Linked DNA regions of Lonchura striata. The protein of the gene in region 3 interacts with the protein of the main gene of each other region in a biochemical or structural test. Links are inferred from orthologs where the notes say so. Each region holds a gene or a part of one and is shown on either strand. Other genes may lie near its edges.

What was found. The genes of interacting proteins can lie anywhere in the genome.
Region 1: the proteins of ERBB4 (region 3) and ABL2 form a complex in vitro, tested with the Homo sapiens proteins (2 studies listed by BioGRID and IntAct, with this or other methods). The link is inferred for Lonchura striata from reciprocal best matches to the Homo sapiens genes ERBB4 and ABL2.
Region 2: the proteins of ERBB4 (region 3) and NRG2 form a complex in vitro, tested with the Homo sapiens proteins (2 studies listed by BioGRID). The link is inferred for Lonchura striata from reciprocal best matches to the Homo sapiens genes ERBB4 and NRG2.
Region 4: the proteins of ERBB4 (region 3) and NRG1 form a complex in vitro, tested with the Homo sapiens proteins (2 studies listed by BioGRID and IntAct, with this or other methods). The link is inferred for Lonchura striata from reciprocal best matches to the Homo sapiens genes ERBB4 and NRG1.

The regions. Positions count from the first base shown.
Region 1 is NC_134611.1:2,545,170-2,553,035, forward strand, and holds the start of ABL2 (tyrosine-protein kinase ABL2), read left to right. Parts: upstream 1-4,859; 5' UTR 4,860-4,874; coding exon 4,875-5,049; intron 5,050-7,866. UniProt on the Homo sapiens protein: Non-receptor tyrosine-protein kinase that plays an ABL1-overlapping role in key processes linked to cell growth and survival such as cytoskeleton remodeling in response to extracellular stimuli, cell motility and adhesion and receptor endocytosis.
Region 2 is NC_134617.1:15,390,404-15,397,425, forward strand, and holds the start of NRG2 (pro-neuregulin-2, membrane-bound isoform), read right to left. Parts: upstream 2,985-7,022; coding exon 2,561-2,984; intron 1-2,560. Other genes in the region: uncharacterized protein LOC144247139, read left to right, coding at 2,983-3,034, 3,084-3,160, 4,872-4,906, 5,451-5,524. UniProt on the Homo sapiens protein: Direct ligand for ERBB3 and ERBB4 tyrosine kinase receptors. Concomitantly recruits ERBB1 and ERBB2 coreceptors, resulting in ligand-stimulated tyrosine phosphorylation and activation of the ERBB receptors.
Region 3 is NC_134610.1:34,848,725-34,856,716, forward strand, and holds the start of ERBB4 (receptor tyrosine-protein kinase erbB-4), read right to left. Parts: upstream 3,005-7,992; coding exon 2,911-3,004; intron 1-2,910. UniProt on the Homo sapiens protein: Tyrosine-protein kinase that plays an essential role as cell surface receptor for neuregulins and EGF family members and regulates development of the heart, the central nervous system and the mammary gland, gene transcription, cell proliferation, differentiation, migration and apoptosis.
Region 4 is NC_134642.1:4,914,108-4,922,081, reverse strand, and holds the start of NRG1 (pro-neuregulin-1, membrane-bound isoform), read left to right. Parts: upstream 1-5,113; intron 5,114-5,462; exon of another isoform or gene 5,463-5,508; 5' UTR 5,509-5,571; coding exon 5,572-6,199; intron 6,200-7,974. Other genes in the region: uncharacterized protein LOC144248186, read left to right, coding at 4,952-5,113. UniProt on the Homo sapiens protein: Direct ligand for ERBB3 and ERBB4 tyrosine kinase receptors. Concomitantly recruits ERBB1 and ERBB2 coreceptors, resulting in ligand-stimulated tyrosine phosphorylation and activation of the ERBB receptors.

The sequences.
Region 1 (7,866 bases), on a different chromosome or scaffold from region 3:
TACCCAGCATACCTAACCACAAAACACAGGGCCAAATAAAAGAAGAATGGGGATGCCTGAGATGCTGTAGTGAGCTGGCTGTCTGTACAGACTCATCTTTTCCACTACAACACCATGTGTGCAGTCCCTTTTCCCCCTATGCATGGAGCTCTTCCTTTTCTGGCTCTCCTGGCTGGTAGCAATGTTTAGACTTGTGGCAGTATCAGAAGAGTGGTTTGAATGAAAACAATGCTGAAGCAGCAGAAAAAACAGAACAATAGGCTCCTTCCACAGAGGAGGAGGATGATTTGGGTGATGGGATACACATTTGTGGGAGTGTGTATGTGTAGGTTTTTTTATCTAGGGTGGAAGAGAGTTATTGACAGAAGAAATTTCATCTGCCAAGGGCTGCATGTGAATGCTTCTGTACTGTTGGGCAAAATCTGTTACTTCCCCAGAAAGCTTCTATCTTCACAGACTCTCACTGAACAGGCATGAGAGTACCCCAAGCTATCCTGCATGCACTGTACATAAATGCTAGTTTAAATCATAGTAGTGATTCAAAATAACTTTTAAGACAACAGTGAAACTATTTTGCCAGGACAGATCTGGGCAGACATTTTAAGAGCTGTCAGTCAGAGATGAAAGGGTGAGTGTTTGAACAGGTTACACCAAGAAACAACATCCTCCTTCGATACGGTTCAGCACTTACAAGCTTTCAACATTTACGGCAGAGTAACTAACCTTGTGTCACAGAGCTTTTATCATATTCTTAATTCTTTCTTATTTGTTTTGAAGCGTTTCTCCAGAACCCCATGGTGGCTGAACCCCAGAAACCAGGTGGCTGCAGCTTGGAGTGGCAGATGGACACAGAGCAGCACTGCCCTGGGCCATGTGGTGGGCAGTACCCATGTGGTGCCTTGCAGACACCCAAGGGAAGCTGCAGCTGTCCTGAGCTCCACAACTTGTTCTGGAACTGAATGAAGGTACAAAAATTTGACATACTGTACACATGTATCCCTCAATCAGGCCTCTGCTCTTCTACACAGTTACCAAATACCTTAACTAATACATCTGCATCCTAAATACCAGTCAAATATTTCACACACATCTGTTTCTCTTTGGTGTACAGAGGGTTTATGATCTGGAAGAGCAAAGATTACTGCTAGAATTAATTTTTAAGCTATCACCAGCATCCTTCTAGCTAATTTTTTCCTAAATTACAAATAGAAACTGCCCAGTTAATTCAACAGTCAGGCTCAGGAGTCTCCAATTTGTCCACAGGCTCCTTCTGGCACAGAACTGATACTTCAGGCAGATGACAGTTAGGCTGTCATGCCCAGTATGACGTAAGACTGCTCAGCCAGCAATTTTTAGAGTATGATTTTTGTAGCATGCTGTGGATGAGGAGCAAATGCATTGTCAGTGCTTATAAGAAGCTTCAAGAAATGGATATACCATTAATATTTAAAGTCAGAAGTGTTTCCAGAAATACCACATTTCTTCTCAGCCACATGACTGTAACTTCAGTGCTGCCTTGGTCTTTTTTACCCCTTACTTGAACAGCTCATGAATGGCAGATTGACTGGAAACCCAAAATCGCCAGGACAGTAACTGATACCTCATTAATGCATGGTGCCAGACCTCTTCACAAGAAATTACCCTTGAAAAACAACCTGTTATTGATGCTTCATGAGGCTGATAATATCATAGCTAATACAAATAGATAGCATTGGTGCAGATTTTACCTCTTGGCTTTGCATGGTTAATAACCATGACACTCTGAGAAGTAAATACATATTAGCCTCCATTTTAACAACATGGAACGGTGTGGCTCAGTGTCATCAGTAACTCAGCAGCACAGAGTTGCTTTCAGTTTGGGGAGTTTCTTGCTTATATCCCCATTGCTCTTTAGCAGTGACCAGAAGAGCTGTTAGCAGCCAAGGCATCCCCTGTTTGTATGACACCATAAAAATGATGTTGCTGAGGGGATCAAGTGGGGCACAGTGTGATGATCTGGCTTGTTTAGCACACATCAAGCAATGGTTAGAGTTTGCTTTTTTTACAGGGTACAGCTTGCTCTTTAAAACCTATTATACAACAGCAAAAATCCCATGCTGCTGCCCTTTTCCACATGCAACAGGCCTTAGAAAGCCCCTGCCTAACCCCATCCACAGGAAAGATGGGTTTGTGTGTCAGACAAGTTTCCTGCAGCTAGAAATTAATGTAACCCATAGCAAGCTGTTCTATGTGCAGAAGGTGCTGGAAGAGAAAATGAGGGATATCATGAGATCTGAGGAATAAGAACAGTGCTTAAATTCAATTCTCCTTGGTGCACTTGCATATAACAGTCTCTTGACACTTGTGTCTTCTTTTAAAATACTAATAGCCTTCCTCTAGATAGTTCTTCATGATCAGCAAGTAAAAAGCATTAGGAAAGAAAAACAGTATTTCTGTTGATTTTTAAAGAGTGGCTCTATGCTACGTGGCAACTGCAAATGGCACGAGGGAGTTCTGTGTTTGTTGTCTCTACAGTCTCCAGAGAACATATATTTTGTTTACAAGGCAAACCATTTATAAATGCCAAATCCTGCAAATTCTAGCTGGAATGAGACCAGGAAATAGCTCTACTGAAGAGTTTACCACGGGCTGGTTCTGCCCGAGACTGCCCATTCTGCAGGAATACCCTTTGCTCATATGCACATAACAATGTCCGTACAAGGTCTGGGACTTGGCACCATGTACCCCATGCTGCACCCTGGATGTTCCCAGCACTATTTTAAGAACTGTTTTGTTATGTGTTATTAGGAGGTCTATTTGTAATTCCCCATCTCCCAAATGTTCTTAGTGCATTAATTTAGCGAGTTAAGGCATTTCTGGCTCCATGTGCTCTTCATTCCCATTTACTCCATCCATCCTGTGACAGAGTACACATCAGTCCAGTGGGATGAGCCACCCCTATTTTAGGCAGAATTATTATTGCAGCAGGGCTCAGTTTGAGTACATGCACCAGTATGAACTCCCTGGGAAGGTAGAACATGAGCTTAGAATTCCTGTCACTGAAAGCTGGCTTTCACAAAGCTCTGAGAGGAATGTCTCCTCACCTTCCCACCACAGGACAGAGGTTGGAAGCTGGTTGGCTCTGAGTGTTACCAAGCCAATTTGTCATTGTCACATCAGTTCTCAGTGGTAAAGGCATCTGAGGGGAGCAGCACTGTGGCTCATCCAGGATGAAGCAACATTATTAAGACATTGCTGAAATAGTTGCTAGCATGGAGAGAGAAATACTTCCAACTGCTCAGGTCCTCTAAACTGTGATGAGCACCATTATCTTTCAGGACAAAACCTCCTGCCTTCTGCTTTGATTGGAGTGCTTTATACTAGTATTACAGAAGGTGAAAGATGTTGGTTTACTAATTAGTTACAGAATTGAGTGTATGTTCAGCCACCCAGCAAGATGCTGCTGCCAACCACTCCTGGTGTTATTCACACAGCAGTGATTTCCTCCTCCTCTATGCACTTGGCCAGTACAACAGGTCCTGGCAGGAGCCCAAGGAATCAACCTGAAGCCTGGTAACCCACAGAGATCACAGAATCAATTAGGTGGGAAAAGAACCCTGAGCTCATCGAGTTCAACCTGTGACTTGACAGCACCATGTCAACCAGTGAGTGGTGAGTACCACATCCAGTCTTTCCATGAACACCTCCAGACAGTGACTCCACCACCTCCCTGAGCAGTCCATTCCAATGTCTAATCATCCTTTCTGTGAAGAAATTAATCCTAAAGTCCAACCTGAACTTCCTCTGGCACAGCTTTAAGACTGTGTCTTCTTGCCTTCTCCCTGGTTGCTGGGGAGAAGAGGCTGACCCTCACTAGGCTACAACAACCCCCTTGTGCACAGCTTAGGACAAGCCCAGCTCCCTTCTGCAGCTGGGCACACGGCCCTGGCTTTATCCTCATGCCTGCTCAGCTTTGTAGGCAAACCAGCCTGGCTGTAGCCTACAGGGTCAGCGTTGCTCAGGCCAGCCTTGAGGCCACAGCCATCGCTTGACAAAGCTCAAGTATTTGGACGACAGTCTCGGGTTTGGCTCTTGAGGCTGTCCTGTGCAGGGTGGAGAGATAGATTTGATGCGTCCCTTCCAGCTCAGGAGATTCTGTGATTCTCCTGGGCTGCTGCTCATGGTCAAGATGGGAGGCCTCTCCTGGGGTGCGATCTGGCAAGTCACCCACGTGGGCTCTTGTCCCTCAGCCCATGTCCATGTGCATTCCCTCGTGTGCCCGTCCCCACTGATTGCCTTGCCTGTGGCAGTGCCAAGAGGATGGTGCCAGGCTCTTCAGTGGTGCCCAGAGACAGAAGAAGAAGCAATGGCCATAAACGAAAGCACAAGAAATTCCACCTCAGCATGAGTAAGAACTCCTTTATGCTGAGGGTGGCAGAGCACTGGAACAGGCTGCCCAGGGAGGGCGTGGAGTCTCCCTCTCTGGAGATATTCAAAACCCGCGTTCCTGTCACCTGCTCCAGCTGACCCTGCCTTGGGCGGGAGATCCACAGAGGTCCCTTCCAACCCAAACAATCCTGGGATTCTGCGTGCTGCGGCAGGGCGGTCTAGGCTGGGGGGACAGCCCTCCCTCTATCCCAGCTTCCCTTCCTGCGTCCCTCCTTTCCTCCCTCGCTCCCTCCCCTCCCTGGGCGGACCGGAGGCGGCTGCGGGAGCCGCTCCGTCCCGCTCCGCCGGCGCTCTGTGGTTTAAGATGGCGGCGGGGGCTGCGGGGGCGAGCCCGTGAGCCGCAGCCCGGAGCTCCGCGGGAGCCGCCGGGACCGGCCGCGGGAGCAGCGGGACTCGCCTGCCGGGCCGGCAGCGGCGGCAGCGGCGGGATGTGAGCGCGGCCCGCCATGGGGCAGCAGGTGGGCCGCGTCGGGGAGCCGGGCGCGGGGCTCCAGCACCAGCCGCCGCCGCCGCAGCAGCCGCGGGGTCTGCGGGGGAGCAGCGCGGCCAGGCCGGCGGGCCGCCGGCGAGAGGCGGCCGGGCGCTCCGCAGAGGGAGGATTCAATGTCTTCACCCAGCACGGTGAGCGGCCGGGGCGAGGGGGAAAGGGACGCGATCGGCCTTCCTCCCCTCCCTCTTTTGTTGTGGTGGGTTTATTGGGGGAGGGGAGAGGCAGGCGGGGGGAGCGGGGCAGCCACGTCCCGGGGGATGCTTGCCCCGGCCGCCACGTCCCGGGGGATGCTCGCCTTCGGAGGAGCTTCTCGCCCCCGACCCGGAGTTACGGGGATCCGGACTGCCCGCCAGCCACAGCGGGAGCGAGGTGGCACCGCTGGGGAGCGGGACCCGCGGGGCTCGGTCGCTGTCACCGCGGCGATTCCGAGCTCTGGTTTTGTTTACAAAGGTAAAGGTAACATGTGCCTTGTCCGACTGTTTGCCGAGGCGTTTGTGACTTGCCGGTGTAGATCTGTGAGACTGTGTCGGTCCTGACATAGTAAACAATTTCGTTTTGACTGGGGTATTATAGCTGCCATCTGATTCTCAGTTGAAGTTTTTGCCTGTCCACTTCTGTTCTTATTGCTGTAAACTGAGACCGGAAATGTTTCATGTACACGTCTCTGTAACCTCTCTTAGAAGGACCCACACACCTTCAAATCTCCTTTGTAATCATGTTTTATATATATATATATACACACACACACACACACACACTTATTTGTGCATTATATTAAGATGCTGCCAAGTTTTGGGACGTAAGATCAACTGAAACCTGTCTGCCTTAACAGGCATGTTGAGAGTAGATGAGCGGATGCATCTCAAATCCTAAAGACCTGAATCAGCTCTGGAGAGCTTGGCTTTAAGTGGAGAAAGAGTTGTCATTGTTTATAAAGCAAGGCTGCCTCTGACAATACACGTTTTCTTTTGCTCAATAGAATGAGCTCAGGCAAAAAGAGTAAGGAAGTGCAACCAGCAGTCTAAAAGTAAATATCTTCTGTGACTGCTGACATATAAGTATCTATCAAAACAAGAGCACAGCATTAATCTGTTCTTAAAAATCTCAGTGTTATCACAGCTTTTGAGTTCAGGGAGCAGTATCAGCTTTAAAACCAAAACAGAACATGCTTGCTGAGCACCTGACCCACTGTTAAACTAAGAGTTGTTATTTTATTGCAACTTCATGTTTTTCTCTTTGTATTTTTTTATGTTAAAAGGCACTTTGGCTAAAGCATTCCTATCACAGACTGCACACTTGCAGTGTTGAGGACATCTCAGAAATTAGACACACTTCTTTTAGTGGGGTGTGTCTAAGTCTTTAGTAGCAGAGCAAGAATGCTGTAGAGACTGCTGTGTACATGCCTGCTAATGTCAAACTGTCTTCTCATGCTTTGGTACCAAGATGACTCTTTGGTTCCTGCTGTTACAAGGCAAGGACAGAAAGGATGTTTGTGAGAAGTGCATTACAGCATGTGGGGATGTGTAGTGACTTCCCAATAACACAGTTGACACTGACTCAAGCACTTGTTTTCGTTTTTGCTGCATGTTTTGGTAGTAATTTAGTTCAGCATTCTGAACAATTTCTTCTAGCGCCTCCTCGCACCCTACTAAATTTCAAAGATAGACAGTAGGGAGAATTATTTACATGTAGTAGGAGGGAAATGGAGAGGAAAAGCTTTCTGAAGCATGCATGCGCACCAAGAAGACAAATTATGTGCCCTGCCAGCTCTTCTGCTCTGTCTTCCAGAGATGAGAAACAAGAATGAGCCTGGAAGGCCAACACACTGAATAAAATGGTTCAGTGCCATGTAAAAAGAACATTGCTCTGGGATAAGAGCGATGGTATCTTTCAAAATAATTTCTTTACTATTTATATTGCTTAGGTTATCTGCTTCAGTGGTAAGGTAATGGATTTAGCTCTACTTAGGGTCTTTACTTAGGATTGTTTCTGTTATTTTCCTTGCAGACTGTAAAGGAAGGTGTGTTTTAAAAACAAGATACAGCTTTTTATTCTGTTAGATTATGTGGAAGGGGTGGGACTTCTTGGCAACCCACGTTTTGAGAGTTTCAGAGCAGGCTTCAAACTCCTCTTCCATCTTGGTGAGTGCCTCAGGTGTATGAAATTGTTCTCTGATTCCATTCACATTTTACTAGGAATGAGTTAACAAGTCAGTATTAATAATCTGTAGCAAATGCTAGTAAAGTTGGATACCTTTTTAAACACTTGTCTTGTGCAAAAACTAATATGCATATAGTATTCCTGAGTCTGGAGTTCACTTCCTTTGCCAGAGAAACTGTTTTCTGTGATCCTGACTCTCCTTGTCCAAGGGGATTTTTTATCATCAACTTGTATTCCTATTTTTCATTTAATGACCTTGCTCTCCTGTTTTACTTAGCCAGCAGCAAGCCAGGTTTTCTTTAAGTGAGTCATATGCTTCTGCTGCTGAGATGCTCTGGTTGCTTATGGTATTACTTGATCCAGGTGCCTCTTTTCTAGTAATTTCTTCCTGAACTCCACCTTCCATCCTGTTTCTGGGACATGTATTTCCACAGTGTATAGAAAGTGATGGCAAAAGCACAGGATTGTGGGTTAGCTCTCTTGGACCAGTGGCTAAACCAGCCAGTCACAGGATGGGGCTGGATTATCTCCCTTCCTTGGCTTTCCTTGATGCAGTCATGGATGTGAAGAAGACAACCTGTTTATAAATCCCTACCTCGTGTTGGCAGCTTTCCTACCACGTTGTGCCAGCAGCAAACCTTGCTGAGTACTCCTGCCAAAGTTCATTTTGAGGCGCTGCTTCTTCTGGATTGTTTATGAAAAGGGTGGAAATAAACAATGTTTTCAGTCTCAGACCCGTTTTGCTACAGGATTTTGAAGAGCAGTTTGAGTCAAATGGATGAAGTGTA
Region 2 (7,022 bases), on a different chromosome or scaffold from region 3:
ACCTCGGCACGCAGCAAGAGCAGGAGACACACAGCATCTTAGCCGGTGAGAAGGGGATGAATCACTGGAAAACAGACCCAGGCACAGAGCCAGAGCAGGGAGAAGATAGTCCTGTGAGGCCTCCATCTTTGGGAGTGGGGGGATTGGAGTGATCAGAGCCACAAGGTCCTCCCTTCCCGCTCAGAAGTGACCCCACCATCTGTCCCCCAGCTCCGTAACATCCCTCATACAGCTGCAGCCCAGCTGTCCCTCAGAGTGCTCCTCGTGCCTGGACATTCACCCCCTGCCAGCTCTGGAGTTCTCACTACCCCTGTGTGCAGCAAGAATGGGAAATACCCCTTCACCCTTTTGGATCTCCCCTCCCAGCACAAACCACAGAGCAGGAAGGCAAACCGTGGTTTCCCAGTTCACACATCTTTCCAGCAGCTCGGGTGCTACAAATCAGAAGATCCCGCCAGGAAAGTCACCTTCAGAAGTAACCTCCCAGCTGGACCAAGAGCATGAAGTGCTCAGGGAACCACCAGTTCAGCAAGCTGAGGCTCCCATTTCATCTTCATCACCAAAGCAAACCACAGCTATGACATTTCCCAACCACCAGATTTTATTTTTCCTTTGGAATCTGCCATCGAGCTCTGCTGAGACAAGGCTCCCACCAATCTGCAGTGTCCCTCAGCCAGGGAGGCGAATCAGCCCATCAGAGCCACACAGAAACAAAAGCATCAGCTCCAAGGAGGTGTCACGACAGAATGACAACCCTTAACTTGTTGTTACATCAGCCCACACATTAACGCTTTGGGCCTGAGCCAGGATGCCACAGAACAGCCTCCATTCCCCTTAAAGTCAAACCCTGCTGCTCAGAGATGCACAAGTTCAGAATCCTTTTTTGATCTTAAAAAAAAAAAAAAAAAAAAAAAAAAAAAAGGCAATAAAAGCCACGTACCTTTTGCTGTGTTTTTCCCTGACAATGAGACCACAGTCCTGAGAAATTCCCCCATTTACTTTTCTCTTGTCTTTACCACAGCTCTTTCACTAAATCCTCTCTGTCCACGATGGCCCATATACAGATGAACATGAAATTAGTGTCTCCCAAATTAGTTTTCTTGCACACAGTCCTAGCCCATTTTCCTCAACAACATATTATGATGTGGAAGGTTCCACCTTTCTCCCAGGAAATGCAAGCTTCTAAATTTATCTTTTGGATAACTAAAAAAAGAGACAGGTCTAGCTTTCACAATGCGGGGTCAGCAGTCCCAAATGGCAGAGTATTTGCCCCAGAAACACACAGTTAATACCACAACAACCACCACAGAGCAGTACACATATGGTCATTACAGAGCTAAGTATAACTTGACAAAGTACCTCGCTTTTAATGAGGCAAAAGGCCAATTAACCTTATGAGAATGCAGTGTATTAACATTGAGTGGGGAGCCTGGATTCCCTGGAGGTACACCCTGTATATCCTCATAACACACCAAAAACGAGGAATTCAAACCCTTGCTGAGGGCACGGCACGGCGCTCAGAGCTCTCCGGGTTAACACCGTCCTTCTCCAGATTTTCTGACACAGTATCCAGCATTCAGGCTGGATGAAGGGCCAGCCGTGCATTTTTGTCAGCTCAGATCCAAACCCTGGGAAAATGCAGGCATTGTCCTCGCCTGGTCCCCACCGCCCAGCCCTTCGCAGGTGTTCACCTGCCAGAGGACAGCAAGGAAAATCCAGGAACAAAAGCGGGGACGCTCCGGCGGGCACTTCCCGTTGAAGTCATTTCATAACCGCGTTTCCAGAGGTGCTGGAAGAACAGCACAAGCCACCGCACGAGAGCCGTGATCGGAAACACCGAAATGCGCGGAACGAACAAAAGAAAAAACAACTTCCCCCCCTCGCGAGGCCGTTATTTTGGAAGACGCAAAACTTCCCCGCTCTTAGGGCGCACCTGGAGCGCTGCCCCTGTCCCAGCCCCGCATCCCGGGCCCGGCCCCCTCCGCAGCAGGGAACGCGCCCGGGGCGGGGGTCGCGGCCGGAGTGACCGGAGCCCCCGCAGGCCGGCAGCTCTCCCGGCAGGGCTGCCACGGCCGAGGCCCCCGAGGGGAGAGGCACCGGGGCGCTGGGACCGCGCTGAGCCCGAGGGCTCCCGCGCGGCATCACCGAGCGCCGGGCGGCCGCGGGCTGCGGGCACTCCCCGCACCGGGCCCGGGTCTGCGCTGCTGGCGCGGCGCCGGGCTGGGGCTACCGGCCCTTGAGCCGGGCGAGCGAGGAGCGCCGGGGCCGGGGAATGGGGGGAGCGCGGCTGCGGCGGCCGGGCCGCGCGGAGCTCATCGTATCGTATCGTATCCTATCGTATCGCACCGCGCCGCATCGCATCGCATCTCCCCCGGTGCAGGCGCGGCTCCCGGGGCCCACCGGGGGCGAAGTGGGGGGATGATCGCCGGGCGCCTGTCCCCCGTAGGTCCCAGCGGTACGGACCTGTCGCCCCGCGCCTGCCCGGGACGCGGGCCAGCGCTCCCGCCGCCGCTCCGCCATCGCCCCCCGCCGCCCCCCGCCGCCGCGGCGCGGCCCGTACCGCAGTCGGCGCAGAGGATCCGCGCCACGTCCCGCTTGAGGTTCTTGCCGCTGGTGTCGAGCGGAGCGAAGGCGGTGCGGAAGACGAGCGGCTCCTCGGTGGGCTCCAGGAAGAAGATGTAGCGGTGGTTGCGCTTCACTTTGAAGCAGGGCGCCTTGGAGCCCACGCTGATGAGCTGCTCCCGCTGCAGCCCCCCGCTGTTGAGGGGCCACAGGTCGAGCACCTTGACCAAGACCCCCCCGGCGGGCCCGGCGCCGCGGCTGTCATTGCCGCCGGCGGGGGGGCCCACGGACTGCACCTTGCCCTCCAGCACCACCGCCGCCGTGTACGCCTGGTCCTGCACCGACTTGAGGCTGGGCGAGTAGCAGGCGAGGGAGACGCCGAAGAGCAGCATGGAGAAGCCGGGCGCCGGGTCGCGCCTCATGCCGCCGGCTGCCGCTCGCTGCCCGCCGGCCCTGCGGCGGCGGCCGGGCTGCGGGGCCGGGCTGCGGGGCTGCGGCGCGGCGGGCGCGGCGGGGCGGAGCGGAGCGGCGCGACGCGGGGCGGCACGGCACGGCACGGCACGGGGCGGCACGGCACGGCGCGGGGTGGCACGGCACGGTACGGCACGGCACCGGCACGGCACGGAGCGGCACCGGCACGGCACGGCAGCGGCACGGCCTGGCGCGGCACCGGCACAGGCACTGGCGCGGCGCGGCGCGGGGAGGAGGAGGCGGGATGCTCCCTCAGCTGCCCCTGCCCCCGGGATGCTGACCCCCGCACCCCCCCGGAAAGGTGATTCCCTGCCCGGGGACTCCCCCCGGGGATGCCCGCTGCGGTGGGGATCCCCGCGTCCCTGGGGGTCCCCGGGGATGGAGGCAGATCGCGTTCCCTCCATCCGCCCATGGAGCCAACCGAGGCGTTGGCAGAACCCCCCTTTTCCCCGCAGAGGCGATCAAAGATGCGCTCATTTGGGGGCGGCTGCAGGTGACACGGGGGTTCCGCGATGCGCAGGGCCCGGGAGCCGGGGATTCCTCTTTCCCGATGGTTTTATGGAGCTGGGAGATTTGTGCCCGAGATTCCCTGCACACCTGAAGGAAAGACATTAACATAGAGACAAACGGAACACGCAGTGGCCGAGGAGACAAAGCCGCCTTTCATGCCTGTTCCTGCTGCCTCTCTTTAATAAACAAATGCTTTTCCCTGCAGTGGCTTCCAGGAGGAGTCGCTTTAAGCTCCAAAATGTGCTTGTTTGGGTTTATTCCCGAGGCTGATCCTGAAGCATCTGCACTCGCAAAGCCTCGCTTGCCCAGGCGGTGCGAAAGGGAGCTGAAATGCTCAATTAGCAGCAGCGGGGGATTTTGTGGTTGTTGCTGCACTGGATTCTGTGTTGAAGGGGAGCGGCCATAGTCCCATCCCACGGAGGTGACCTGGAGGCAGAAGGGCGATGGCTCTGGGCACAGACTGCAACAGTCCCTGTGCTTTAGGGCCCCGAGGAAACCCCTCAGCAAACCTCAAGGGATGAGTCTTCGAGCCCACTCTCTTTGAGTGAGAGCAAAGGAGCACAGATGGCAGGACCTGGATTTGCTTCCATTTAACATAGCGCAGCCAGAACCGTCAGGAAAAACGGGAAAGGAGCAGAGCCGCTGTGCCCAGCCCAGCCCAGGCATGGGGCGTAGCCTCTGCTCGTGTTTCCCCGGCTCGGGGCGGGAGGCAGCGCTGTCCCACCCTGGCACAAGAGGGCACAGCCCCAGCACACGCACCCGGGGCTCTGGTGCCAGCCAGGACCGCTGCTCTTCCCCTCTCCGGGACTGCTGACAGCTCTCGGAGCAGCGTTGCCATTGCAGGGCCGTGGTGCACCGGGAGCCCCGCAGCGTGCCCACAGCAGGGCTCGGGGACCATTTACTTCTGGTGCACATTTCCTCTCGCTAAGCGTGATTCTCTGCGGCTTTTTGGTCTCAGATGTTTCCGAAGGCTTTCTCTTTCCCCCTGACTGGTGACCACGCAGAACTGCAGAGAAATGCAGGTGGAGGTAGAAGGGACCAGAAGTGTTTCCCACGGCAGAGGGAAGAACAGTATTTTAGATTCAGGAAGCTGCTCAGAGGAGCAGGGAAACCACCTGACTTCTCTCTTCTTTTGACATAAATCTCTGTGGAATTTCCCCTTTCCCTATCATTTTGTTCAGACAGCAACTGAGGTTCTGCCTGAATAGGAAGGATATACCCGATAGCATCACTTCATCTGGAGCTCGCCTGCTCTACCCTGCCCCTCAGCAGAAAGGGCAGTTTCATGCCCAGGCAGCTGAGTTGCTAATCCTTGTCTGTTTTTGCAGGCTGAAATCCCAGCGGGACCACCGCAGTTCTCCAGGTGAGTAATTCAGTGCAAGATACCTGTGAGGCCTCTGGGGAAATTTTGAAAAATTCAGGTTTTCTTTATCTCTGGGGTATTTTGAAGTCCCGAACACTTAGGCTCAAACAAGGGCACTGGTCACATCTGCTTTCAGCAGTATTTTTCCTGTTGTTCAACCTAACTCTTGTGAAGTCAACTGGTTTTCATCACTTGAGACAGCTGCTTTTCTCTTAAATTTCAGAAATGGTTTAGGACTAAATCCCTCTCCCCCCATTATGCAGTTTTTCCCATAAAGAAAAATCATTATTTTCTATAGGTCCTTGGGCATTTTGACATATGAAATAAATAAAGCAAGGTCCTTGGTACAGTTACCAGAACAACCTGAACACTGGCTTTGAGAGAATTAAGCTTAAATAACCGATTTTAAAAATACTTTCCTTCAGACTAGGGTAACTGTTGGCAGGGACCCCAGGAAGGTCTGTGGTCTGTTTTAATTTACCCAAAGCCCACCTCTCCTCTACCTCCCCACTGTGAAAACCCATCATACTTGCTATCCTGGCAGAGATGGAGAATCTGAGCTCAGCCTGGATGCCACCCCAGAGTTCAGCAGCACCATCAGAGATTTTCGTTCCTCAGGTAATTGTTCTGGGGGCTGTTTTTTCTTTTACCTCCTTTAATTTTGTTCCTGCAATTTCCCAGAGATGCCTGAACACAAAGCACCTCTCAGGTCTCTCTTGCCCTCTGCCAAGGGAGCTCCTGGCACAGAGCCCTGCCTGGTGCAGATGCCACACAGGGCAGTGTCCCAGTGTCCCTCCCTTCTTCAGGGAGCCCTGCAGCTCTTCTGCAAGGACAGGTGTTGACCTCCAGCAGCACAGGCAGGCGAGCTGTCCTTGTTCAGCATCCTCCACAGGCTGCAGATGCTCAGCCTCCTCTGTGTCAGTTGAAGGTCTGCTCCTGCAAATCCCATGTGGGGCTTTTGGTGTAAGGAGGAACAAAGCAGAGTCACAGAACGTGCTGAGCTGGAAGGGGAAGCATTGAGTCCAACATCTGGCTCTGCACAAGACATCCCAACAACTCACCCTGTGCCTGAGAGCATTTTCCAAATGCTCTAGAGCTCTGGCAGCTTTGGGGGCATGCCCATTCCCTGGGGAGCCTTGGCAGTGCCCAGTACCCTCTGTAGGAAGAACTTTTTCCTGATATCCAGCCTAAGACAGGTCCAGCCATTCCCTGTGTCATCCAGCATGGGGCTGTGCTAAGCTCTTGCCCATTTCAGGCCAACCTCAGAACCATGAATGCATTGCAAGGTGCCCCCCCACCTCCCACAGCCCTTCCCAGCACCAGCTGTATCCTGCAGGGAGCCCCAAGCCCTGCTGGTGTGCAGGTGGTAAATACAGGAGACACCATCCCATACCCCAGCCAAGGGAACATTGCTTTCCCTCTCTATGGGACATTCCTGTCGGAATCTGAGGTATTGATGATTCCCAGATTGTAAAAAGTCTCTGTCTTTCTGCCCCACTGCCAAAGCAGAAGCCATAATTGGTCTGTGCTGGTTTCCAGGTTGTTTATTCTGTTTATCTCTCACATGTTCTGCTGCCCTGCCCAGCTCTGTCCTGCAGGGCAGCGTGTGGGGCTCTGCCCTCAGTGGGATGTTACAAACATTAAATACCAGAAACTCCCTGGGCTGGATTTACAATCACGTGCCAATATCTGTCACCTACGTTGGACAGTGTGTCCCCAGCCTGAACCAACAGAAAAATGCCAACACCACAGTGAAACATGGGGGGCATGAAGAAGGAGAAAAAGGACAAGACACACCCAATTTCCTCCATCTTGTCCCTTTTGGACCTCTCATCTAGAATCCTAAAATTTTACTTTTGCGCCCGTGCCACACTTAATTATTACTTATATCAAACACTCAGAGTTTGTAATTCATCCTGTTAGGTTGAAAACTCTTTTCCATGGACAGAGATCACAGCCAGTGTCTCTGGGGGCTCTCTCCAGGGGGGTTCCTGACCCCTGCCAGGGTCCCAGACCTGCCAGAGGGAAGCTCTGGATTCCCACAATTCCTTGCCTGCAATAATCAGGTGTTTTACAAAAGCCCCACAAATGCCATCAAATCCATTGCAAACAGTTT
Region 3 (7,992 bases):
TGCAGGCTCAGGAGAAAGGCTTTCCCCTTCATGAGCTGCTACTGCCAAGTCTCATTTGCTTTACTCATAAGGCATGTATTTCAGGTCCTTATTATTACTGTTTTCATGTTAATTACAAGCACAGCTCCTAGTGCCAAATTCCATACACATAAACATCAATTACCATCTCTTTTTTTAAAAGCGAAGTCACAACTCAGTCACTGGGGCACGCAGCAGTGCCGCTCTCAGCAGGGCAGGTGCAGGCACGGAGCCTGTGTGGTGCAGCCCCGTGCTGGAGCTGCCCCAGGATCCCCGGGGATGCCCCAAGAGCGGCACCAGAACCAGGCTCCTCTGCCCTGCAGCAGCGCTGGCTCACAGTGCTCTCAGGGGACAGGCAGGGACAGCAGCAGGCTGCCCTGCCCACCATGCAGAGATGTCCCTGCAGACACCTGAAGGGCTGTGTGGCACGGGAGGCACAGCCAGGACGTGCTGAGCCCACAGCAGCGCCCGCTCCCCTTTGGTGAGAAGGCCCAGACAGAGCGACAGAGAACCCTCGTGCAAGGGCCAGGTTCTCTGATGGCAGTGACGGGCTGAAACTCCCAGGCAATATTTATCGTGCCTTTGGAAAGGCACTCCAAGCTCAGCCTAATTTTAACCATCAAATAGACATCGTGGCAGAATAAATGGGAGAGGTGCCAAGGAGGGCTGTAGCAAAGGAAAGGAGCTGCATCTCTCTGAAGGCGTGTAGCATGTCCCATCCGACACGGCCCAGAGAGGAGTAAAGGCATGAAATTAAAGACTGCCCATACATCAGCCTGAGCATGCTTCTCACTGGGAAATAAAAAAAAAATTTTTTTTTTTTTTTAAATGGAAATTTAAAAAAAGAAAAAAAACTGAAAAGATATTTGAAGTACAATTATTCTCAGAACAGCTGAATAGTGAATACTTCAAACAGGACTAAGTTAATTTGGCTGTAATTATTTAACAACTCACCAACCCCACATATCAGAAAATGGAGTTAATTTATCAGCTATTTTCAAGCAGAACAAAGACTCGCCAGCTTCCAGGTAACAGCCCAAGCTGTTTGGCTCACGTGACCCCGCCTGAGCTGTGCACTGCAAACATTATATGCCCAAGCACGGAGACAGAAGAAATCAGAAAACCCCAACCTGTTTACATATTTACACACAGGATAATGAAATCAAAAGTTTGGCCAAGAGCTTGCTTGCACGAGCAACGGCATCACCATCTCTCTCGATGCACTGAAAATGAAGGCAGCGGCCAGAGCACCGTCTTATTGCCCCCCAAAAGCCAAGAGAGCCCAAATTCCGGGGGATCCTAAACACTTGCAAATCATGGCTCCCTGTCCAGCCTGCCCTGCTATTCCAGCAAGCACCAAGTAGCGAGGCTCAATCATTACTAGCTGCCAGTGCCCACAGCAGTGCCTGAACCTCTCCAAATAGGAAATGTCACTCCAACCCCTCTATTTTAATAAACCGATTTTCTGTTTTGCACAGTGCAGGGCACAGAGGCTTTTCAGCAGCACCGATCCAGGAGGCTTCCCCAGAGAAGACAGGAAGGCAGGCGAGCAACCCTGGACCGATGCTTTTTATTTTCACTGGGGTATAAATCCAGCAATGAAGGGTCTTTGTGATCGTCCACGCCAACAGCCCGGTCCGAGCGGTGGGAAGGATTGCTGGAGAGCACGGGAGCATCCCAGTGGGGACGGCTGCTGCCCAAAACCGGGGCACAGGCTACGGGGAAAGTGTGAGACAGAAAAGTATCAAGTGAGGCAAAGCGGCTGCCTGTAAACAGGGAGGCAGGCAAAAAGATACAGAGAAGCAGCGCCTGTGAAACGAGGAGTGCCATTCTTCTTCAGCGGGGATTTACCGATTCAAACCGCAGGAAGAGAATATACAAAAGAAATCAGCAGCTCAGCATTTCACCCCTCCCGATTTCGAGGGTTAGGAAACAATCACACAGCGAAAAAGTAAACTGTGTCCCAAGATCAAAAACCGCCTTCAAAGCCCAGTCAGACAGGCGAAGCCAGGACACGCTCCTTTCGCTTCTCACAAAACGCATCCTTCCTTCTCTCTGTTACATAAAGCCCCAAAATATAAACTAAATTGTGACAACGAGGAGCTGTTGCACCAATGCCGCCCAAACAGCATAAATTTTGCATCACCGGGGAGGGAAGGGAGGGAAAAAAAAAAAAAAAAGAAAAAAAAAGAAAGAAAAAGAAAAAAAAGCGAAGTTACAAAGACTGAAGAAATTTCCTTTTAATGTTTTATTCACAGCAAAGGGGCGATGCAGCGGGGGGCGATTCCCCGTGCCCTCCCCGGGCGACTGAGCCGGCACATCTCGTACTACGGCGGCAGAAAGCGCTGCTCGGATGCCAAGAGGAAAACAAAATTCAAGCCAGCGCTGCAAGTTTCCCTCCAGAAAGTTAAAAATTCCGGGCAGACCCTGCCGGAGGAAGAAGCGCCGATTCCAGCGTTAATCTCCAAGCCGCCCGCTCGCCCTCCCCCGAGCGCAGACAGCTCGGCGCGGTGTTTGCGCCGCGGGGCCGGACGCGCGGGTGTGCGGGGCACGAGCGGCGCCCCGGCCGCCCGGCGCTCCGCGATGCCAAGTCCGGGAGCGCGGCCCCGTCGGGACGGCGGCGGCACCTGCGGGGACACGAACGGCGCCCGGCGGCGAGGGCGGCCCCGGGGCCGGGCGGGGACAGCGAGCGGGACGCGGAGCGCTGCTGCGCGGCGGATCCGCGACCGCCGGCCCCGCTCCGCTTCCCGCGGGGGACTGTCGCCCTCTGGCCGCCGCCGCTCCGCGGGACCCGCACGAACTCCCGCACCCCGCGCCGGGCACCGGGACGCGGAGAAGTTGTCGGGAAGGCGCCGCTCCGGCCGCTGCCGACGGACGCGGCCGCTCACCCACCTGCCTGCGCCGCCGCGGCGGCCCGCGGGGCCCCGGCCGCCGCCGCCAGCACGCAGCAGCTCCACCACAGCAGCCCCCCGGCCGCCGCCGGCATCGCGCCGCCGCCGCTGCCTCAGCGCCGCCGCTGCCCGGCCGCCGCCATCCCCCGCGCAGCCTCCGCGCTGCCGCCGCCGGCTCCCAAAAGTTGCCGCCGCCGAGCCGCCGCCCCCAGCGCCGCCCCTCCGCGGGCGCGCCGCGGCGCCGACGGGGCGGCCGCGCCGCTGCCGGGCCGCGGGGCGCTGCGCCGCCAGCACGCGCGGAGCGGAGCGGCGGGAGCGCGGCGAGGACGAGGAGGAGGAGGAGGAGGAGGAAGGAGCGAGGGGGTGAGGGAGGAGGGGCGGCGGGCCGGAGCGAGGGGCGGGCGGGGCCGGCGCCGCGCGGGACCGCCCCGCGCCCCCCCCTCCCCACGCGGACGCTCCGCACCTGCGGAGCCGCGCGCCCGTGCCCGCGCGCCCGGCCTGAGGGGCGGCCCCGAGGAGGCGGCACCGGGAGCGACCCTGCCCCGGGCGGGCCCGGGACACCTCCCGACACAGCCCCGAAACGGCAGCGGCCCCAGCCGAGCCCGTCCCGCCGGCGGCCGCGGCCGAAACGTGAAGAGCATCCTGGGCAGCGTGAAGCTCTCCGCCGTGGGAGCCCCCGTGCACCTGATCCGGACAAGGACAGGGCGTGTCACTCTCCTCCCTGGGTTCTGCCCCGAACACCCGCTCCCCTGAGTGCTCGCAGCCGCTCATGCGGCCATGAGCGCCCCAGCGGCGCTCTCAGCACCAAGGCGAGTGCAGGGCTTCCCAGCGCCCAGCCCAGGCAGCTGGGGAGCTTTAGGGTGGAAGGGCTGCAAGGGACGGAGAGAGGTTTTCAGGGCAGCAGGGCGGGTCGGCAGCACCTCGGAGATCACTCTTCACTGTGCTGCTGGGTGGACTTGGCACTGAAGTAGCTGATGAGAGCTGCGTTTTCCAGCCTGCCTGCAGCTCTGAGGGGCACAGAGGTGTAATGGCATCTCCCACCAATGCACTCCCCATCCTGATGTCCCCTGCCAGCCTGGTGGCACCTCCTAGATGCTCTGGCGACAGCTGCAGTGCCAGGGTCCTGCAAGCATCAGCCCAGTACCTCCCCTCACCACCACCCACCCCAGCACAAGGGTGAAATGCCAACACAGACATCCCCCCTAACAGATCCTGGGGAACAGCGTCTCATCAAGACTTGTCTTGGAAAGACAGACACTGAAAATCTCAACATCTCATCACAGGTGGGAGACAGCAGCTGCCATTTATCACTCTTGAGGAGTTGATTGGCATCCTCAGTCGTAACTGAATTCTGCGAGCTCACAAGAGAAAAACACCTTCAGTTCTTCACTTCATGTCCCCAAAATGCATGCCCTAGGTTTTGAAGCCTGCTTACCCCGATCAAGCCCTTCTGGAAACACGAAGGAACTCTCCTTATGCCTGTCCAGCTCTTCTGTGCAGTACTTCCCGGAGTGACTTCCCAGTGATGCTAACAGCTCTACCTGGCACCCCCAAGCAGTTAAGGTGGAAGACTGCAGCAGCAAGTGCTTTGCGTCCAACCAGCTCCAGTGGAATGGTTTTCCCATAGGAATTACCCTCAGAGGAATAACCCCAGTCCCTCCAGCCAAACTGCCTCCTTTCCAGGGAAGCCAGAGGCTTGCATGCCTTTAAGAAAAAAAGAAAAATATCCCCAAATCAAGACAGTATTTCAAGTGGGATTATTGCTCTTTGGCCAAAGATCTGGAAGTTTAGCTGGAACTTACTAGGCAGGCCTTGCAGAAAGGAGGCTGCAAAGAAGGAGGTGTTGTTGCCCTTGGTGCTGCATCCCCCTGCCTGCATCAGCGGTGGCCAAGGGGCCATGAAACTGGCAGGCAGAGGCAGGTGAAAGAAAAGGCAGCCAGGAAGCAGAGCCCTGACATGCAGGGTCTTCAGCCTTTCTTAGGTGTTCCCTGAGAACACCACATGGGAGAGGCCAGCAGGAGAGGCTGGGAGCCAGCCCGTGCCCTTGCTGAGCAGATTAGCAGCAGTGCTGATCATCCCTCCTTGCCACCCCCAGGAAAGAAGCGTGATCCCTGCCTGGCGCAGAAATGGATCCAGCGAGAGGCTGTGAGGCGAAACTCGCTCAAATATTGAACTAGAAAAATTTTGCTCGATCTGCCTCTCAGTAAACAGTGACTAATTGCTCTGGCTGGAGTTGCTGTACCTTCTAGATTGGAAGGTGCAGATGGAACAACGATAGTGAAGGCTCCTTACCTGACACCGGCTGTACATTAATCACAAATGTTTGCTATGCAAATCTTGTCATACAAAGCAATTATTGCTGTTCCCATACTGACCTCATGTTTATTTATTACATGAGCTCTTTATTGGAACCTTGTCTGGTCTCTCTTCCCATATAAGCGTATTAGTATGTGGCTTCCAAAGGCACCCAGCTGAGAAATTGTAGATTTATTTGTGGCGTTGGAGGGATGGCACACGACACGCTGACTGCAATGCAGAGCTGAGAGGCTCAGCTCTTACACCAGTGGCTCTTCATGCAAAATATTCTCACCCTGAGGTCTCTTGCTGGGATGAAGGACACTTTCTAACCGCACAGGGCTGTGACTCTGGGTTTGCTCTGACGCTGCAGTATTAACCGATGGTTAATGGAGACTGTCAGCCCGAGGAGCCGCACAATAAAACTCTGCTTGGGCTTCTTTAGGGTCTGCTCAGTAAAAGTAAAATTTTACACAGTGCTTCGTCCTTGGCTTTGTCACCTTTGCCTACCTCCAGAATGATGAGTTGCAAATAGATTTAACTGTGCCACCAAGTAAGTTGCAAGTGCGCTTTTGAACGTGGTGGTGTTTGGGTAGCTGGAGGGATGGGTGTCTTTAAGCACCAAATATTCTCTTGCCAGAGGAGTTTTCTCCATGTGATTTAATGTCGGGCAACACTGGCATCCGGTGGGCAGAGAGTTTCCTCCTTAACAGCTTGTGGCAGTTCACTCCCTTGATTTTGTCCTATGGCTTCTCAAGATGATCATTAAATGCAATTTCTACATTAATCTGGGCTTTGTTTTCCCCCTTCCTTCAGTTAGGCTGCAAAGCAGGCAGAACAAGGTATTGTCTGTTTAGTGTTTTCTTTTAAACACACCCTGCTACACAGTCTGGGATCTTCTGAAGTCAGCTGCCCCTCCACGCTGATCAATTTTGCTGTGCAGGGACTCTGCCTGCCTCACACCGCAGGGAAGTCTAAGTCTCTGTTCCTCTCTTGAGCGGGACAGGAAGGGTCTCCATGGTTCCTGCTTCAAACCAAACCCTCCTGTCTGACCTCTTTGGGCCCCTTCCTTGTCCACAGACAGTATTGGTGCTCTTTAACTAGGGGAAACTGTAGAAAAGCCCCCAGAGCCTGAATGAAACCAAATCCCTCTTACACCCCTCAGCCCTCCCTGCCTCTCTCGCTGTTCTTTCTTCTGCTCTCACCTCTGCTTTCAGCTCTTCCCAATGTAGCATCATTTGCTGATGCAATTAATTGGAAGCAATAATTGCTTCCAAATCATTAATAAAGCAAGTAATTAACAGCAGGCCTGACAATGAACCTAGCAATGCCACACTGTGTACTTTTCCTCCTCTTCAGCATCCACCCCTTCCTTAGGATCTCGGCTGGCTTTCCATCCATTCGACAACTTGCATGCCCCAGTCAATTTGAAATATTCCTCACCCCCCAGTATTTCTATTTTATGGTGCAGCTGTAGCTTTTGCTAATTGTTCATTTAATGACTGTCCTTTTTTTTTTTTTTTTAAAGCAATATTTTTCTTGAGAAGTTGAATTTAAAAGGGGCCATAAATGACTAATAGTAATTAATAAAAATGAAGAAATAATTGGGCAATGTCTTTAAATGTATATGCCTTGGGTCAAATTCCTAAATCCCTGTTGCTGTTAGATCAGCTTGGGGTTTTATTCTCCCCTGAAGGAGCAGCAGTGCCCAAGACTGTCAGGGAATACTCCAAGTGATGGAATAACTCTCCAACAACCCCAGGAAGCTGAGGGCTGGGGGTATGTGGTGGACCATGCTGGCAGCACGTAGCTTACTGCTGCTCTCCTCCCTTGCTGACAGGAGAACTGGCTGTGCCAGGGCAAGAGGGGCTTCGGGGACCTGGTGGACAACTTGATCCTCTTGAAAAACACCGCCTTTAACCCGTGGAGAGCCCTGCCACTTCCACAAGACTGTTAGAAAGGGATTACACATTTAAGGGCAAGAGAGTTACATTAAAAAAAAAAGCAGCAATAAAAGGCTTTTGTGGTTCAGAGCATAAATCAGCCTTTTACTGCTTTCCCTTGCAGGGAGCGCAACCGCAAGCGCCTGACTCGGGGATTTTTATATCTAGTGGTGAAATATCTGGGGGACAGCAGTGCCAGGGAGCAGGCACAGGACCCTGTGCCTGAGTCAGCACTGCCCAGCCAAGGATGCTGCAGCATCCTGCTGGCTTCAGGAGGGAGCCTGAGTGTGACGGCATGGAGTCAGGGATGTGATCCCGTTGTGCAAAGCAGGACTTGGAAGTGCACAGAGATGGTTTTGAGGGCCACTTCACCCCTGCTCCCCTCTCCTGATGATATTTAACTGCTGGTGGTTCTCCTTTGCCAGTGTAGACTAGCTGAAACTCAGATCCATTGCCCCAGCTCATTACAAGGTCACGTTTTACAAAGTAGCACAGCCACCCTAACCAAAAGTGTGCTGGCTAATTGCCTGCGGTGTGAAATTAGGTTTGTGGTTTCTGTGGGATCAAGTGTGGCTTCCTCCTCTCCTCCACAACCTCCTTGGTTGTGTTCCCAGTTGCCGATGAGCATTTGATGCGCAGAAAATACCTCAGTTTGCAGCTGAAACACACATTCCAAAGCCCTGGCTTTGCTTACACCCAGGATGGTGCAGAGGCAGGAGGACTGGAGGAGCTGGGACGTAGCAGAGCAGAAAATGCCGCGTGGGGCTGAACCTCAGCAGGCAGTTTGGGAGTTGTCAGGCAGGGTAGGTATGAATGCCCTACAGGTAGGGCATTAGGTCAACATG
Region 4 (7,974 bases), on a different chromosome or scaffold from region 3:
GAAACTGTTGTTCTTTGGTCCTTGGCAAAGCATCCTTAAAAGGAGCCCTATGAGCAGTTTCAGTCCATGCACAGTGGTGAGAGCACTGTACATGGAAAGGAGGATGTCACGATGGCAGATTTTCTGCAGGCAGTGCCATGTGTGACATGGAAACACAGGAGATTCGGTTTCCTGGGGGTCTGTGGTGCAAGGGAGAGAGGAGTCTGGGCTGAGTACTGATTATCTGAAGGGTGGTAACTTGATTGATGGTCCAAGTTGTGTCTCACTGTGGTTTGTTGGAGTTTGGGTGGGGGGAAGAGGAATGTTTTCATTCTGGATTCAGGGTCTTTTACCATAGTAGTAGTTTAATAAAGTTCTTTCCTTTTTTTTTTAAGCTTGAGCATGCTCTGCTCTGTTCCTGATCACATCTCACAGCACTCATCTGGGGAGGGTGTATTTTCATGGGGACACTGGCATTGCGCCAGGGTCAAACCATGACAAGTACCCATAAAACTGGTGTTTTGTGTTATTTCCTTGAGCCTTTTGGGAGTTAAACTTTAAAAAAAAAAAACAAAAACAAAACACCACAAAAAAACCCACCTGATTCTTTGCAAAAACAGTCCATGAAACGAAACTACAGTTTTCTAAGGCTTTCAACCTGTTATTTGGCAGGAATCCAAATCTCAGTCAGAGATCAGCTTCATTAGTGTAGACTCACCCTGCATTTTCCTCTAAGCCAAAGAGATCCAGGCTATGTAGGAATCAGGAATAAAGCTTTGCACATGAAGCTAACCTTACTGCAAACCGGCAAGTAATTTCTTGCCTTATCCTGCTGTATATACCACCAATGGGCTACCCCAGTAAAACTTTGTTACCTTCAAGGTCATGCTCCCACTCGATTTCTTCCAGGCCTCCCTTCCAATGAGCCAGTTGCTGACTCTTCTCAGCCACTCATCTTCAGCCGGGGCAGAATCCGTGTTTGAGCACAGCACGCCACTGCTAGCTTGTCACTACAGAAATATAAAAAGCTCAAGCCTGCAGCTGCAGTATAAAACATTTCTGCATTTCTTTGAGAGTAAGGGGAATTATTCAGTTTATACTTTTATCTCCAGACCCTAAGTGAGAGACCATCATCAATCAGCTTTTAGCGCAGCCTCGAGAAAGTAACGTGCTCCCGTGCCCACCCTGATGCGGCTGAGCACACGGGGTTTAATTTTGCTCCAAAAGATGCCGGGAGGAGCCAGCCCGTAAGGTACAGGATTGCAGCATGGCAGGCAGGCGGTGTGCTGGCCCTGGCTTTGGCCACCTGTGGAGCGGGGCCGGGGAAGCTGTCGGGGCGATGATTCAGCGCCCGCTTTCGTCCTTCTCCTCGGGGAACAGCGGGAGCCGCCGCAGGCGGGGACAGCGCGCCGGGAGCCGCCCCGCTCTCCTCGCCGCAAGCCCCGGAGCCCCTGCGGAGCTGGGGGGCTGAAGCAGCTCTGCAGGCTTCCCTGCGGAGGGGGAGGAGGGGGAGGAGGTCTGGGCACAGCCGGCTGCGTGATGCTGAGGCAGGCGGGCTGCGCGCCAGGGCTGGAGGTGCGGCGGGGGAAAGGACCCGCAGCGGAGCAGGGCACTGCAGCCTGGCCGGGAGCCAGGGAGCACGGGCACGCTGCGGCCGGGAGCCGTGCGGGTGTGCCTGCCTGCCTCCTGCATCCCTCCTGCCCGCCTCCTGCATCCCTCCTGCCTGCCTCCTGCATCCCCCCTGCCTGCCTCCTGCATCCCTCCTGCCTGCGTCCTGCATCCCTCCTGCCTGCCTCCTGCATCCCCCCTGCCTGCCTCCTGCATCCCTCCTGCCTGCCTCCTGCATCCCCCCTGCCCGCCTCCTGCATCCCCCCTGCCCGCCTCCTGCATCCCCCCTGCCTGCCTCCTGCATCCCCCCTGCCTGCCTCCTGCATCCCCCCTGCCTGCCTCCTGCATCCCTCCTGCCCGCCTCCTGCATCCCCCCTGCCTGCCTCCTGCATCCCTCCTGCCTGCCTCCTGCATCCCTCCTGCCTGCGTCCTGCATCCCTCCTGCCTGCCTCCTGCATCCCCCCTGCCTGCCTCCTGCATCCCCCCTGCCTGCCTCCTGCATCCCTCCTGCCTGCCTCCTGCATCCCTCCTGCCTGCCTCCTGCATCCCCCCTGCCTGCCTCCTGCATCCCTCCTGCCTGCCTCCCTCCCGCCTGCCGGGCGGAGCTGCTGCGGGCGGGCTGGGCCGGCTGGTGGAGGAGGAAAAGTCGGGGAGAGAGATGCGCTCCATCCTCAGTTCAGCCAGCCGGGCTGGGGCAGCCAGGGTGAGAAAAGCCCTGCGGCAGCAGGGTGAGAAAGGGAGCATGCCCCCACATGCAGAGGAAATGTCAATTTCCCTGTGTGCATCCCCCGTGCAAATAGCATGCCATCCCTCTGTCCAGCTGTGTGGTGTTCTGCGTGTTCGGTTTAACTTCGTGGCAACCCTGGTAAGAAAGGTGCAGGGCCTCCACGTTCGTTTCTGTTCAGCACAGCACCAGCAAGATGTGAGCCACATCTTGCCGTATCACATAGTTTAAAGGAGAGCAGATAAGTGTAGATAGAATGGAGGGTCATGAAGATTACTGGAGATTGAACACAGGCAGTTTGCCAGGAAGACCAGTGCAGGAAGATGCGGACAGGACTGGGGATTAAACACAGGCTGAGAGACGTGTCAGCATGGAAAATTCTCTTACTGGAAATAGGAAGGTTGAAAATTAAACATGGATAAAGAAGGAAAGTAATTTAAAAAAAAAAAAAATTCTGCCAAGCACTTAGATGCTGTAGTATCTCATCTGTGCAATGAATAGAATATTCCCAGCTGGTTCTCAGCTTGCACTCCGCTTTGAAGAGTGATGCTGTAGCTTCACACTTGAGGAACAACTTGGGTGTGCGAGAGTGTGTCTGGTTTTCCTAGATTTAATCAAATGAAAGGTACATCCTTTCTCTAGAAACCGTGCTTTACTTGTAGCCACAGACCAACGCACCTGTCACAGCAATTCTGCTGTTTTTTTACACTTTGTACAGAGGTTGTGTTGTTAGTGCTGTTTGAAATAGGTTTTGAGATACTCGAGAGAGGCTGCACTAATGCAGGGTATTACCAGCAAAAGAGAACATGTGCTTTGTAATAAGAGAAGCCATATATGTAAATATGCAGTGCAAGCTGTTCTTTCTGTCTGAGGTTGCTGATCACATCATTAACCTAAGGACCAGACACTTCAGTGGTAATGTAGGCTAGATTGTAAGATGATTTATCTTTTTACATTCCTTCAGAGAGTGTTATCACTGGCTGTGCTTTAAGGTAAATGCTCCAAGCACTTGGTTGTAGTAGCATTGTGATTACTTCAGTTGGCTACGACCGCCTCACAGGAAGCTTTGTGATCAGACATCCATCAATTAGTCCTTGACATGACAGTCTGTAAAAACACTATGGGATTCATTGAGATTTTGATAAGTCTTTTCCATGCGACTGTTACTAATGTTCTCATGGAAGGGGGGCTGAGATGGGAGTGGAGTTGGAGGCAGAGAGAGAGCATGGGTAGAGCCAGATGCCTCTTTTGACACCATCAAAAATAGGTAACTACAGAGGAATTTACCTTTCATGTGCCTAAACAAGACACCAGCAAAAATTAGTTCAGGGCAATTTTTAGCACTTGATTCTTTGTTTCCTTATGCATCCTGCAGCCATCTATACTAAAGAGAAAGGGGGAGTCTCACCAGCAAAATTTCAATGCAAATGTTTTAATTAAGTTCAAGGACCTGGAAATTGTATTATAAGCACCTTGCCTTTCATACATGTCTTTATTGTTACATGGGTGTATTTTTCTGTGAGAGACAAAAGAGACTGGGAATAGATCTGATTCTAGTCTTACTTTCATTATGTTAACTGGACTGTTGATTTACCCCTGTATTATACTGCACTGGTGGAAATTGTAGTGTTTTGTATTAGTAAAGGTGAGAAATGACAGCCAAATGAAGTGCAAGCCTTTAATAATAATAATAATAATAATAATAATAAATAAAATAGTTTGATTTTTTTTTAATTTTATTTTTTTAGTGTAAGGTGAGTGAGGATCTAGTCTAGCAACATGTGAGCTCTTGAAAAGTGCATTCAGGAACTGACTTTACTGTGAAGTCTGGGGTTTTTTGGGTTTAGAAATGGGTCGGGAAAGGAGGTTGGGAAATAGAATTTTAAAAAAAGCAAATCTCCTTGCAACAACTCGAATGAAAATTTATCAGAGATGGGAATGGATTGGTGTTTTTTATTTACTCTGCTTGATCTAAGATGCATTCCAGCCCTATTCCTAGGAAATAAAACTTACTCAGGAGCTTGGAAAGAAGAGCTGTCTCTAGGTGTCAGGCAGGGAGAAACTGCTTCTGGAAAGAGGTTTTCCCCCTGGGAGAGATTGAATATCAGACTGAGCGAGCCCAGTCCAACCCAAAGAGCTCCCACCGATCTCAGTCCCTGCTGGAGGACTTTGCCATCGATGGCCGCCGCTGCCTCTGGCCGCGCTTTGCCTGGAGAGAGGGAGTGGGTGGGTGAGCAACTCCTGTCCGCTCCCTCCCTTTGATTTGATGGCCTTTATTCCTCCTAATTGGATAAAATAGGAAGTCACTGACAGTCCTGCGTTGCTGTGTGTACTGATTTCACTCAGAGCAGCCTGCAGAGTGCGGGGGGTGGGGTAGGGGAGGAAGGAGCGAGTCCGCACATCAGGGAAACAGGCTGCGAGGGGGCTGGGGGAGCGGGGCGGGGGGGAACGGAGGAAAGTGAATGAGCGCTCAAGGAGGACAAAGAGGGAGGGGAGATAAAGGGAGTTACCACCGTCTTGGCATCGCTCTTGCTTTCAAACCTCTCTGTAATGATATTGTTTGCAGTGATGCTCAGACAGCGAGCACCTGCTGCTCTGTAATGATTCAGCCTCTTTCAGCCGCCGCTGTAACACGACAGGATGCTGCTGCTACTGTCACTTCTGCCGTTGCCGCTGTTGTTAGAGATTTTGCTTTTGCTCCTTCTACCGCATGACAATTGTTTTCCTCGTCTAAGCAGATACCAGCCTCAGATGCTCAAGGTGAGAGTCTTGCCTTTCGCTCTGGGCTACTGGTTTACTTAATCTGGTCAGTTTGTTCAGTGTTTGTGGTTTTCTTTATCTCATTGACCCTCCTTACCCCTATTTTGTTTTGTTGTGCTTGCTTTTGGGGGAATGTTTCTTCCCCCTGAAGAAGAGCTGAAATTGCTTGAGAGGCGTTTAAGGAATTATAAAAGTGGCTAGCAAACAGGAGCTCAGTAATTGCAAAGCTATTCTCACTCCAGAGAAGCAGAGACAGTAACAGAGGGCTTGGGGACACAGGGACTGGCGGGGGGGGGGGGTCTAATTTTTCCTGTGCATTACTCCTCTCTCAGTTTGGATGATGTTGCTGAGCTTCGACCTTTTATTGACTCCCACTCTGTGATTTTTGCAGAGCACTGTGACTATTACTACCGTCTCTTTTTGTCTGTGTCTCACAGTAATGGACTGTGATAGAGTTAAGGCCTTTTGGAGGTGAGCTGTTTGAGAGCTGATGCTTAAACATGTCTGAAGTAGCTGCCGACACTTTCCCCAGCCCCTCAGCTCAGCTGAGCCCTGACGCGTCCCTCAACGGGCTCCCGGATGAGGAGAACATGCCGGGGACCCAAAGAGAGGACAGGAGGGTCCAGGGGATAGCAGGCCTTGCCGCAACCTGCTGTGCGTGCCTGGAGGCCGAGCGACTGAAGGGCTGCCTCAACTCTGAAAAGATCTGCATCGCCCCTATCTTGGCTTGCCTGCTTAGCCTTTGCCTCTGCATTGCTGGCCTCAAGTGGGTCTTTGTGGACAAGATTTTTGAGTATGACTCTCCTACCCACCTTGACCCCGGGAGGATAGGACAAGACCCAAAGAGTGCTGTGGATCCTACAGCTCTGTCTGCCTGGGTGCCTTCGGAGGTGTATGCCTCACCCTTCCTCGTACCTAGCCCCAAGAGCAAGGCTGAAGTGACAGTGCACAGTGACAGCTCACTTGTACCCTCCAAACCATTCCTCCAGCCTTCTCTATATAACCGCATCCTAGATGTTGGGTTGTTGTCCTCTGTCGCACCTTCGCTGTCACCACCCGCCCTGGAGCCTACCACAGCATCTCAGGCACAAGCAACAGAAACCAATCTCCAAACTGCTCCAAAACTTTGTAAGTAAAAACTATGTGTTTCTTTGGGTTTTTGTTTTTTTTTTTCCCCTTTGCAGAAAAAAAAAAAAAAAGGCACTTAACTGTTCCCTGACTGTCTACAAGGAGGACATGTGATTGACTTGCAGAGCTTAAGCATGCTAAGAGAGATATAGCATGGGTTGTCTTCTGAGAGCAGCATCTAGAATCCTCAGAACTTAATTCTGTCATGTGCAGGACTTCATCTGGGATGTCTGTAAAGGGCTAGTACTGCCTTTTTCTCTGCATCCACTTGTAGGGAAGTATGTGATTTGTTTCAAGGGTTTATCTGATGGCTGTTACACATAGTGTATTGTCCTTATAAATTGGCTTTGTCTCCTGTGCTGGATCTTCCATGTGTGTTCTTTGCCTTGCCTGCAGAGCATTTCTGGTGCATCCTTCCTGAAGTCTGTGGCTGGCAAATATCCCTGTCATCCTCATGAAACTCTCAGAACAGTGAGAAAAAGTGACAGTAGATTTGAAGCAGTTAGAAACCGGGAACTATTACTTTAGCATCTAACTTACGATCTTTCTCTTAAGAGCAAAGCATACATTTCTCTGTACCTTTCTCTATCTCTAGGAGCTGCTTCTTGTTTAACTTGTTTCTCATATGTTGCCTTACTGCCTTTTGTGAGGCATTTCAGGAACGCATTCTTGCTGATGTAGAAAGAGTCAATTTCCAAATTAGACTTCGTTCATTATAAAAACAAACAAAAACAGGTATCTGTATTATTTTCTTAGTAGTGATCATAAAGCATCAAAATACTGCATTACTCAAGTGCCATTTCTTTGACATTCATTATTTTAACCCACCAAATTCAAGGCAAACCAAGCCAGCAATTCCTGAGCTGTGCAAAGCTGTGTAACTCTAGTAAAAGGGAAGACAGCACAGTCTTCTGCTTGAGAGCACAGGGCTGAGGTTTCCTGTCGAAAGCTGCAGTGATCAGAGTGAAAAACTGCACTCCTCACAAATTTCCATGCAGGACCCCATGTCATTTATTCTCTCTCATGCCTTCCCTATAATGCCATAGGTTGGCACGTTGAAGATGGCACATACTGGACCTCACCCTGGAGCTCTGAAGTCACCAGAAGTTCACTTCTAAGTTTAGCCCCACTAAGACTGAACTGAGTATAGATATGTGGCATTTGGATTAAATCTAATATTTCAGGCCAACACCCTTGCCAGTGAAAATGAGTATAACTAGGGTGATTTCAGAGGAGGTCCTTTCAGCTGAGAGTCAGTCTTGAACAGCAGTTCCAGAATCAGTGAAAGAAAGTTCTGAATATTCCTGTAGAAACCCATCTGCCTTTTGCCTAGATGATGGGTGGCAACCATCCTGCAGATTAAAAGTAATTTGCTAGAAGGAAACAGTCTAATAGAGAAACTCTACTGTACCAGTAAATGATAGGGAGCCTTGTCTGTGGTGTTACTTTAATTAACCACCTTTGCAATTAAATAGAACTATGCTAAGTGAGCTTTCTTTTAAATATTGCTGATGCATAAAATCTTTTTTTGTAGTGCAAACGTTCTGACATTAAATATATGACTTCTTAACACACTTTGCTTCATAAAGTGACCAGAGACCACTATTCAGTCATAATTGCTTCAAGAATCCCTCTTGAATTTCCACATATGTGGCAAACCTTTTTCAAAAACATGCTAACTCCATCTCTGAAGTAAACGAAGGGGTGGAGGGGCACAGAAAATATTCTTTGGAGCTGTCACTGACAAAAAGCCATTATCTGCATTTAGATCTGCT